Linked DNA regions of Caenorhabditis elegans. The protein of the gene in region 2 purifies or fractionates together with the protein of the main gene of each other region. This does not show direct contact. Each region holds a gene or a part of one and is shown on either strand. Other genes may lie near its edges. The genes, in order: C01G10.1 and F54F2.9.

Evidence for each region.
Region 1: the proteins of F54F2.9 (region 2) and C01G10.1 fractionate together in Caenorhabditis elegans (co-fractionation; one large-scale study listed by BioGRID). This does not show direct contact.

Annotation. Positions count from the first base shown.
Region 1 is NC_003283.11:15,097,841-15,104,980, forward strand, and holds C01G10.1 (BRCT domain-containing protein), read left to right. Parts: upstream 1-1,906; 5' UTR 1,907-2,050; intron 2,051-2,095; 5' UTR 2,096-2,121; coding exon 2,122-2,182; intron 2,183-2,527; coding exon 2,528-4,160; intron 4,161-4,206; coding exon 4,207-4,327; intron 4,328-4,370; coding exon 4,371-4,785; intron 4,786-4,855; coding exon 4,856-5,226; intron 5,227-5,274; coding exon 5,275-5,389; intron 5,390-5,434; coding exon 5,435-5,659; intron 5,660-5,709; coding exon 5,710-5,810; intron 5,811-5,858; coding exon 5,859-6,174; intron 6,175-6,223; coding exon 6,224-6,363; intron 6,364-6,405; coding exon 6,406-6,549; 3' UTR 6,550-6,565; downstream 6,566-7,140.
Region 2 is NC_003281.10:8,824,621-8,829,277, forward strand, and holds F54F2.9 (DnaJ homolog subfamily C member 1), read right to left. Parts: upstream 2,609-4,657; 5' UTR 2,608-2,608; coding exon 2,267-2,607; intron 1,842-2,266; coding exon 1,357-1,841; intron 1,297-1,356; coding exon 987-1,296; intron 844-986; coding exon 735-843; 3' UTR 606-734; downstream 1-605. Other genes in the region: Integrin alpha pat-2, read left to right, coding at 212-358; F44E2.3 (uncharacterized protein), read right to left, coding at 2,877-3,038, 3,425-3,508, 3,577-3,714, 3,763-3,883, 4,391-4,492, 4,540-4,657.

The DNA.
Region 1 (7,140 bases), on a different chromosome or scaffold from region 2:
TTCAAAATTTTGTGACTTGCAAGAAAGAGCGAACTGTGTTCAATATGATTTGTGCTTTCCGAGCATCGAATAACGTATATGTTTTATTGGTGGTTATGCTCGGAGTGTACGTTCCAGAGAGCTTAATGTAAGTTTTTTTAGGGGTTTAGAGTATGATTCGAAAAAGAGGCAAACGTTTTTTGACGTTTTATTTAAAATTTGGAAAAAAAAACATAAAAATGAAGGCTTTCAAAATTAACTTCAGAGGTACATATATCATAAGCATCTTTTCTAACTTTCAGAAATGAATTCTTAAATTAAAACGAAATTTCTCAGGAAGATATTTTATTGGGAAGACATTCTTATTAGGCATCATATTGGATTTTATTGCTCATGTTTTAATTTTTTCTTCTTCTGTTTTCAGTGGGTACTCATTTTACTCTCCAGCTGTTGAAAGCATTCTTGTGACGTTTGGTACGAATATGCTAGTTTTCAACGAATTTCAAAGTGTCTACTTATCCTTCAATCGATTTTTCGTTATGCTATTTCCTTTAAAATTTAGTTGGCTATGGGGTTTGAAACTGACATTGGTATTGCATATTCTTTATTATATAAACCGCATCTGGAATGTGGCTACGGAACACTTGAGTAGAAGTGGTACTGATTTCATGGTTACGTTTAAAACCATTTTTTTGTAATTTCAGAAAATTCAAATTTTATGCTTTTTTCCAATGAGCATTTGGCGTATATCGGGCTTTTGTCTACACCTGAGCATATGCAATTATGGGCTGTTGCTTTAATTGTTTTCCCACTTTCAATAAACGCAGTCACATACATTCTGTTTCATTATATGGTAGGGAATGTTTTTAGAATATTTTCTTAGAACTATAAAACAAATTTGGCTCTATGTTTCAGAAGAAAAAGACAATCCGCGGATCTCAACACCGGAGAAAAGCACGGAAAAATGTGTTACAGTTTCTTCAGACTCGTTTGTTTTCTTCAAGACTCGTTGTTTTCAATCACGGTCTTGTTTTCTCAGCTCGAGTAAGTCACTGGAACAATTTCAGCTTCAACTCAAAATATAACTTCAATTCCAGTAACCTTTTTGATCATAGAATCTGGACATTCTTCTGCCAAACATTTGTGTTGCAATTCGTTCATGTTCTTGATGGGTGAGTGGATTCAGACACAGTTAATTCGTAGATCGGGCACAATGTATTACGATCAGCAGTGTAAATCGGGCACAAGATCAGATTTTCAAGCTTTTCAAGCTTTCAAGAACATTTTTTAAAGTAGTTTTTCCGAACTATTATATATGTAAAACTTTTTTTTTTGAAACATTTTTAAGGCGTCAAGCAAAAAGTCAAGCTTTCAAGCGTTTACATTACCTGCGAGCCGTGGGTTTTCAAATTTTCGTACACATTCACTGTATTTTTTTAAATCAACATATGGAAAATGTTGACGCGGCTGGCATTTTATGGGTCTGTTAGGTATTTTTCAAAAATTGTTCTACAGAATCTGAGCCGCTACAGGTTCCAAAAAATTTTCACATGTAGCTGAAATTCGAGTTAGTAATGAATATGAATTTAGATTCATTATGATGATGTTCAACAATCGACTGTCCCCAATGAAAAATAAAGTTCTCCGGAAAGTGAGCCCATTGGAGTCTATTGCTGTGAAGTGTGATGACAGAAGAGCTATTTCTAATCTACCACCACCATCTACAAGATCATAAAACCAGCAATTAATCTATTCATGTAATTGATTTCAACATTTCCCTTACTCTGTATTTTCGTTAATTTTTAATAATTAAAAACCAATGAAAACCAAAACCTTCAAAAAAGGAAAACTATTATATTCAAAAAGTTTATTGAAAAACAAAAAGAAAAATGCATGAACAACATAAAACAAATTTCGATTTATTTTTATTACGTGAACCTCCAATTCGTTTGTTTCAACATTTTTATCTGATAATCAAATCTGCTCAAATCAATCATTGCTCAGGCGGAAGACCATATCTTCTCGCAAAATCTATTCATTGTCTACAGTCTTTAAAAATAAGCATCTTTCGGTAAGTCGTTTTTCATACTTTCAGGCTGTAACGGCAGTATTTCAGATAAAAAGTATTGCAATTGTGGACTTATGATTACTTATTATTTTGGCATCGGAATTCTAGGAGCATTTCTAGTTACAGCCGGAAGTGGTGAGTTGGAAGAGGGAAATAGCTCGCGCGTAAACTATTATTAAGGGTTTATAAACTAATACTTTGTTCATTTTTGAAAGAGTCGATTTTTATCTTAAGAGTGTCTTCTTGCATTGCTTTAATTTGAAAAAAAGCCAACATGTAAATACGAAATCCATGTAGCAAAAAAACGAAATATAAAATACTAAAAGTAGAAGAACTTACGTGAAAATTCAGAATAATGAGTGAAAAGTGTCATTAACACACGTGGCTGTTAGTTTTGAATTTTCCACAGTCTTTACCCACACCTACATGCCTGCCTACTCGCCTACATGTATCTCTTCCACAACGGAAACCATTTTTCAGCCCCGTCAAATCTCCAACTCATCAGCGAAGACTTCCGTATCCTATCTCGTGTGACCAATGCGATTTCCCTCCAAGCAGGTGCTATCAGGAAGAATATCAAAGTTCGTGATCTACTGGTAGAGCTGATTCGGATGCCAAGAGACCAGTTCAACAACATCATAGATGTCGACATCAAAGTGGCACGTACGGAGTTGAATAGAATGGGTGAAGAATTCGAGAAGTTGTCTCTATTGCTTCAAAATGATACGAATAGTCTGGTTGGTGATAACATGACCGATTTGAAAAACAATTTGAAGTTTCTATCACTCTTTTCTCAACAAACGTCTACCTTCTTGGATGCCATCAAGTACCCTATCAAGAACCTAATGAACAATCTAACGACAATAATTGCAAACAACTCGATGTTCAGGAGTAGTTGCTCACAAGTGGATACGGATAATTTCAAAAGTTTTTGGGACTCTATCAACAACGAATTGTCGGAATACGCCACAAATGATTTCCCGGGCTTCGCTGATACATTTGTCGCTAACAAACCAAATTTTTCCGACTGCCTAAACTATTTCCCACAGTTGCAGGCTGAGCTTGATGCTTTACCGATATGGGGTGGACTTGAAATGATTAGAAAATGGGAAGATATTATACGGTTGGTTGCAAAATTTGATGCATTAAGCGACTCATTGCGAGCTACAAATGCAACGCTTTTCCGGGTTCTTTCAAGTCTGAAAGCGACAAAATCTTTATGGAAGAGTGTACATCCTAATTACCATGCCCAGGTTATGACTCAACTCAACCGTTCTCTGTTTGAAATCATTAAACATCACATTGCGCCAACAAAACCAGTTCTAAAATACAGTGCGGGCTTCAGAAGCTCAAGAGATTTCTCTAAAATCTCCAAGGATTTGAGTAGCCCTTGGTTCAGAAGAAATATTGCTAAAGAATCGAAAACAAAGGACCTGAACCATGCACTAAAGATATTCCATGACATTTCGGAAGCCGTCACTTCACTCGATACTTCTTGGCACAATTTCACTGCTCTCACCTTGGATTTTGAGTCCTCAGAAGTTGCAAAAGCAGGACCTATTCTTGACGTTATTTCGAAAATGTCCCTTAACTTTGCAAATTATGAGTCAATTATTCAAAACGCGAGTAACAAATTATCGGAGTGCTTTTCGAATTTTTCTGTTACTTCTTTGGAGACACCCAACTCTTCCCTTCAGGAAATGATTCAAGACTTTCAACAAGCTATATCACCAGCTACAAATTATATGAAATATTTGGCCCAAATCAGAAAACAGGTCTCGTATATCAATATAAACTCAATCTTAACCATACGCCCCAACCGCACCATAAAATCGTTTTTTGACGAATACTACAAGAAGCTAAGCAATGAAATCGAAAAACAAAAAGTGAACAAAACCAATTCGTTGAGGGTGAAGACTCGTCTCAAAATCATCATTGATCAGATAGATAAAAGGGAGGTTGATTTTCACAACTTCATGACACATCTTTCACAAAACTTAAAAAATATTAAAGTGATCACAAATAAATCTTTACCAAACGACACTAAAATAGACAAACTGCTTGTCGAAATGTTGGACACGTCACAATTGAGGGGAATATCGAAATGTTTGAGGTTAATATTATTATGTCTATGCCCAAAAAATATTTAAAAATTGCAGTCAAGAGTTCATGCAACCGCTTCGAGTATTGGAGGTAATTGAAGCAATGATTACTGTTCGACAGTTTGCTGGAAATAAGACGGTGCTGAAAATGAACCAGTACCTCGATGAGCTAGCCAAGGTTAGTAAATAATAACTTCATTGCTTTTATTTATAAATTTCAGGTTAAGAACCAACTTTGGAAAGTGGAAAAACAAATCAAGTTGATCACATCTCAGTCGAATTCCAGTCACAATCTTGTTCTGAAATTGAAGACCCCTGAACTTTTTACTGCGAGTCTCGGAACATGTGCGCACGTGTTAGAAGATCTTGAAGAAGCACGACAAAATCACCAGCTTCTTTCGAATTACCCAGATTTCCCTGTACAAGTTTTGAAGACAATTTCGGGAATGGGACTCCGTGAATGGCTGGATCCGGAGCAAAAACTCCAAGTAATGCTCCAAAAGATTGATGCTCTTGATGCAAAATCAAAGATGTTGAGGAAAAATGGGAATTTATCAGAGATGGTCAAAGTGTTCGATGATGCCTCAAAAATCAATGGTATCCGTGGAGATCCTAAGGATTTATATAGACTATTCAGTAAGTAGTTAAAATGGAAAAAAAAATAGTTTTTAGAATTCTTACCGAGTAAAAAACATTGAACTTTCAGGATTATTGAAGAAGTCTAGCAAGCTGGAGAAGCAAGAAGCTGCAAAGTATTTCGAGTCTATAAAAAACTTGGATCTAGATTTCGCACGGCACGAGGCTATACTCAAAGGAGCTGAAATCACAATTTCTTCCTTGATGACCTATTTTGATGAGATATTTGGCAACAAGAAGCTTGATATCGTTACAATTGCGGTTGATAATCAACTTTCTTGGATATACATCATTATTATTTGCATTGGTGTGATGATATTGATTGGTCTCATTTGTATTGTTGCCTACGGGTTTACTCAAAATGGAAGGTCAAAGTATACAAATTTGTATTTATATTATGTTGGAAAACCAGTTCATTATGAGAACAGGTGGAGATATTCTGTAAGCTTCTCATGTTAAATCTACATTTTTTGAATCAACATTTTCCAGCTTTTCCTTGACAATCAGGATGGAAAGAACACCTTGTTGGATGCAGTACGGGAAATTAACAAAACAAATGCGGTGAATGCTGTAAAGGCAGGATCCTACATAAATGCATTTAACAGTAAGATTCAAGAAGATCTAATTTAGACGAAAAAGCTATATTCAGAGTTCGGAAATACCGCTCTGCACACTGCAACCAAGTCCGCTCTACCTGAAATTGTAAAGCTTCTCATTAAAAATGGAGCTGATCGGGAACTGCTGAATACGATGAATCGAACTCCGGAGCAGATGATCCCACTCGTATATAAAGACATTCCAAAGGACAAGGTTGAAAATTTTGACAAGATTCGAGCATTGTACAAAAAAGCAAATGGGAAGAAGCACAAAATGAGTAAGCATCAAATGTCTTGTGATAAGCTAAATAAAATTGAAAATTTTGAGATGTTCCACAGAAGTTTCCAACCACATCATTTCATATTTGGATAGACGAAAGAACCGACATCAACATAACCAACCAATTTATGGAGAAGTTTCAAGCTATTGTGAGTTATTCTTTGCACCAAAAACTTCTTATTTAAATCATATTTCAGACATCTGATGAAGCTAATTCAAACACTACACATGTCATTGTGAAGACAGATGAGAACGGAGCTCTGGAAACTGATAGTCTCGATCTACTACTTTGGGTATTCAATGGTGCGATTATTGTCAAAGAACAGTGGATGGTGGATTGTTTGGAAAATGAGACAGTTATCGAACAGGATTCAAAATATTTGGTGGAAAAAGTTAAATACAAGGGATCATATTACAATACAGTTCTTCAATGGAGTGAAGCCATGGCAAAAGGAGCCATTCCATATTTGTATGGAGTATACTCAGCGGTTGTCATGGTGGAATGCAAGAATTGTGAGCAATTTCGATTCAATCCTTTGAAGGTCATTTTATAATTTTTCAGTGCTGAAATTGAATTCACTTGTCGCAATCCACGGTGGTGTCATGATGGAAGTTTTTCCAAGAAAGGAGCTCTTCAATGTTGGATCTCACCCATACAACCATGCAAATCTTGGACCTTTGTTTTTGATTCACGATGGAAAGGTTTGTATTTTGACCGTTTAACTGTGAAACAATTTTTTTCAGATAAACTTGAGCGTCTACAAATCTGATCCGGACAAGATGTACACACTGTTCACTGAAGAAGAATTCATAAAGTTTATGCTCAAACGAGATATTGTCAAAGATATTAGTGAAACTCCGATTAGTGTTCTGAAAGATGAGAAATAAAGATTCTTTATTGATATTACTGCAGTTGTTTATTGATATTACTGCAGTTGTTTATTGATATTACTGCAGTTGTTGCAGGCACATCTTTAGGCCCAGTTTTTTCTAGCTATGTGGTCCACTCATTATGGAAATTAAAACATGAACACAGTTTCTCCACGAGAAGATCGTAACTGTACATGCATAAATATTATTTTCAGAATTTTTTCTGCTTGAATTTTGCTATCTATTTGAAAACGAGAATTTATTCAAGATTTATTAAGAGCAATCAAGAAAATAGAAAACAAATTGAAGCAGCCAAATACAAATTCAGAACTTAGGTTCCATGAGTTATTTGTCAGATTGTAAAATTATTTGTAGAAAGATGAGGAGCTACAGAGACGTTGTCAGCAGCTGTCCTGTTTATCGGATTGAAAAACTTCAGAACATCTGAAAAAAAAACATTTAACAAGATTTTCAGTTCTAGTATACCTTTTAAGGCTCTTCTGTAGTCTGTGATGACGTACATCAGAATACATGCGTCTAATGCTGGATAAAGCGCGAATATACCCAAAAATATTCCAGTAGGCATACTAAATTTCAGATTTTAAAAAA
Region 2 (4,657 bases):
AGATTAAGAAAAACTGAATTTAAAAGAAGTTGCCTACGACATTAAAGCTGTGCTCACACGCTTTCGAAAATTTCACAGCAACGTCCACGGCGAGCTTACGTCGGGGGTACTGTAGAATATAGGTAGATCAGAGCGACTACAGTATACAACCAATTTCGAAACAAATTTACAGTTTCCCTCAGAAAATAAATAATAATAATCTAATTTTCAGTGTGGTTTCTTCAAACGTAATCGTCCACCAACTGAGCATGCAGAACTCCGTGCCGACCGTCAACCAAATGCTCAATACGCTGATAGTCAATCCCGTTATACATCACAAGATCAGTACAATCAGGGACGTCACGGACAAATGCTATAATATTTTCCATTTTTTGTTCCTTATTCTTTACTATTCACATCTGCGGGTGTCTTTTTAAAATTATCATTTTGGTCCCAATTTAGTCCTCTTGTCGTGCCTTGCCCCCCAATCTTACTTTCATGTTCGATCGTTTTTCGGAATCTCCGCTCAATTTGGTGCTTTATATGTTCATATTATGTTTCTTTGTTTTCCAATTAATTACCAATACATTGACATGTTTCTAGTCGATATTTTTGATGTTTTTTCTTTTATTATCATCAATTTATTAATAAAAATTTAATAAATAAATAAATATTTAAAACGCGTCTAAAACAATAAATTTTGGAATTTCATCAAACCCGACCAACAAAAAAACGGAATAAATATTATGACAAAACTAGGTATCATTGGTTTTCTTTTTTCGAATCATCTCAGCCAATTGCTTGAATCTGACCATCACTTGTTTCTTCGTTTTGCTTCCAATTTCTTCGGAGATTCTTTCCCACCTGAAATTTAATATTTAAAACATTCCTCTGGATATTATATTATGGGGACCCAGAAATTTTACCGTCAATACCTAACGAAACCCAACGCTTGGAGGATGAGCGTTCTCAATTTCAAAATACCCATTTCTAGTTTCCAAGCTAACCTTTCATCAGTTCCCTTTGGATATTTCTGCAATGCGGTTTCAAAAGCCTTCTGCTCAGCTTGACTCCAATCATCTTCTGATTTCTCTTCAACTGGTACTGATTGTTGAATAGTTGTCATCAACAATTTCGTATAATCCTCTTGCTTCATCTGTTTCATTTTTCCAGCCATTGCAATAACGTCTTCTGCACTTCTATTCAAAACTCGACCCATTTGTTCCCAACGATTCGGTGTTCCAGCCGGGTATTTTTCAGTGCTCAGTCGAACCAGACTAGCTAATTCATCAGGCGTCCATGTTGCTCCAGATTGTTCTGAAATTAAAAGATCATTGAGTAGAGTTCAGAAACCTTTTTTCTGATAAATTAACTTACTCTGTGCTACAACTTCATTTTCTGCTGCATACTTTTTCTCCATCTCAGGATCATTTGTGGAAACTGCTTTCATACCTTGAGCCACTTCAAATTTAAACTCTAGTTGCTGGGGTGCCGCTGCTGCTCTTTGTTGCCTTCTCTGTTGAGCCAACTCCTCTTCTGTTGGTTCTTCAGGTTCAACTTCTTTAGGTGTCATAGCATCTTTAGCAGTCAATGCCAAGTTTTTGAAGAGGGTTACTGTACCTCTAGCAAGAATAATTGGAAGAAGTTCTGAATATTTTGGAAGATACTCTTCAAGTGCTTGTTTCATCAATTTTTCTGCTTCCGCTGGATCTTCTTTTTTCGATTTTCGCGATTTTTTCACATTTTGTTTGTAGACAAGAGTTTTCTCGAAATATGCCGCCCACATCATCAGGTAATGAGCGATAGTTCCGATAAAAAGAAGCACAAGGATTCCTTCATACCATGCAAGTTTTCGCATTCGTCTGGAAAAAATTATTTATAAAACACTATTTTAAAAAAATCCGAATTATTTCAGTTAACCATGTGATATGGAATATGGTGGAATGGGAAGGAAAATATTTTGGTATTTCTGCCAATTTTTAAGACTAACACATTGCATTTTATTTCTGAATTTGATCAGATTTAAGATTGTCACGCAACTTTTATTGGGCAAACCTAGTTACTTTTTTTTTGAAACCATCGCAAAACGTATAATAGCAATGGGGATTTTTTTAAACTATTTATATGATTAATTGGAAAACTCATTCAAATTTTAAGAATATATTTACAGTCAAAAAGCATAATTTTTTAAGAAAAACAATAACAATCTTATGTAGTTTTCTCGTATTTTTCTGTACATTTTTTTTCCAATTTTCAAAAATAAAAACCACTATGTGAATTCCCTCACCTATAGTAATACATAGGATGCCTCCACGAAGGTAACCCATTTTCCAGAACATTATCATATTTTTCACGAAGTTCTGTAGTCTTCAAAACTTCATAGATTCCAGCAACTTGACGAAACTTTTCCGTAGCATCAGGCGCAGAATTCCTATCCGGATGCCATTCAAGTGTCAATTTTCGATATGCTTTCTTTACTTGATTCGACGAGGCATCTCGTGGAATATCGAACCACTCGTAGAAATTAACTCCGACTTCTTCCACTAAATCATATAGAGCCAAATCTTCTGATGTCCATTGACATTCTGTTAAGGATATTAGGAAGGCAAGGAGAAGGATGACCCGCATTCTGCAATAAATATTTCAGAAAATTCAACCAAATTTTTTTAATCTATAAAAATTAGAGATTTAAACGATTTACGTATACATTTTTATTATTGGACCAACAAAAAATAATAAATAACAAAGTTTTTTATTTGGTTTTACGAAATTTTGAAGCGAAGACAATTAAATTTTAAAGTGGCTTCATTAAACAAAAAATAATAAACTCTGAAAGAAGTGAGTGAAGAGATCGGCGAGGTAAAGTCAGGTGCACAGGCGATTTGTTCATCTTGTGCTCATTTCCCAAATTTGAATTTAATCGGAGCCCGAGAGTTGCCTGATTTGTTCAATATCGCCTGCTGCTCATTCTTTTTCATGTCCGATTTCTGACGTGCAAGTTCAGCACGATCTCGTTCCAATTGGCTCTTTTGCTCAAGCATTGCCAAACGATCTTCCTCCTGAAATGAATAACTGTTAAATTAGGTCGAAGTGCGGAAATTTGATTTAATTTAAACTAATAAAATCTAAAATTGATTGTGACTCGCGTTGAAGATGAAGATGATATCCTTGCACAAATACCTGCTAGACGGGGGGCCGAATCATCAGCGACGACATGTCCTTTCGTTTGTTGGCACACAAAATTGTATAAATCAAAGAGGAAATGGAATTAATTGAGGAGAAAAAGAGAGAAAAATTAAGAAAAATGTTCAAGACGAGAAATAGATATTTGATATCTTATAAGCTGCTGAAAAGATGTAGAAAAATGAATAGAATCCGGCAGATTTCGTAGATCTTTCGTATAATTGGAATATTTGCATTCTTGAAGTTGGAGGAGACAACTTACAAATTTCTTGCGACTTTCTTCAGCTTCCAGAACTTTTCTTTCTAGTTCTGCTTCCAATTGTTTGCACTTTTTACGAGATTCTTCCTGAAAACTGGTAACATTAACCTTTGTAGAGGAGAGGAAATGTTTTATAAAGTAGAAAAAAAACTAACATCCCGTTTCTTGCATTCCGCCAATTCTACTGCCATTTCTGCTTCGATTTGAGCTCTCAACATCTTTTCCATCTCATTTCTTGCCGATGTCGCTTTTTCAGCCATCATTGCTTCCAGTTGATGTACACGAGCCGATACCTGAACCATATGCTTTTAAAACGACAAAATTGGAAAGAAATTAATTACCTGCTCAACAATCTTCTCTTCCAGCCATTTTTTAGTTGGTTCGTTCAAAGTGCTCACGTCGAATGGGATGCTTGTGTCAACTGGGGGATCCGACGGTGGTGGTGGAGGAGGAGGTGGAAGTCTTAACGAAAAACAGGTTATAAACTATCTTCAAACTGGATTTTAAAACTTTAACATGATATGTTCATGGAGATAGTAGTTTTTCTCACTTGACAATTATTATAACTTACCACCTAAACTCGAAATTTTGCGATTTTCATTAAAAATACGCTGTCTGGTCTTGAAGTGACCGATTTTCAAAAATGCAAAAGTGTGTGCGCCTTTAAGGAGTACTGTAGTTTACAACTTCTTCTCATTTCCACTGAATTTAACTTGAAATTTATTTGTTTTTATTGCTTTTTCTCATATTTTCAAAAAATGAAATATTTTTCAATCGAAAAACTATGAAAAATCACCTAAAAGCTTGTTTGAATTGAATAAAATCGATCGCTTCGATACCAAAAAGAAAAAACAATAATCTTTTATAAACAAATAATTGTCTAACTTCAAAAAGTGTGATTTTTTGAAATATGAAAATTATTTGAGTTTCCGTATTCTGGAGAAATATCGATTAAAGTTGAAATCTTACTTTGGAGATTCATTTCTCTCTCGTCGACGTCTCTCTTCTCTGAAAATACTTCCCAATTGATGTGGTTCGGCTTGTGAACCTTCTGACGATGAGCTTCGATGCCTGGAACTTTGAACCTTTTATTGATTGAATTTTAAAAATATAAAAACCTCCGTTTTCTCTCTCTATCCTTTCGGTCTCGTTTTCTTTCTCGATCACGATCTCTGTCCTCACGTCTTTTTCTTTCTTCTCGATCTCTTTTTGGTGACCTCGAACGACTTCGTGATC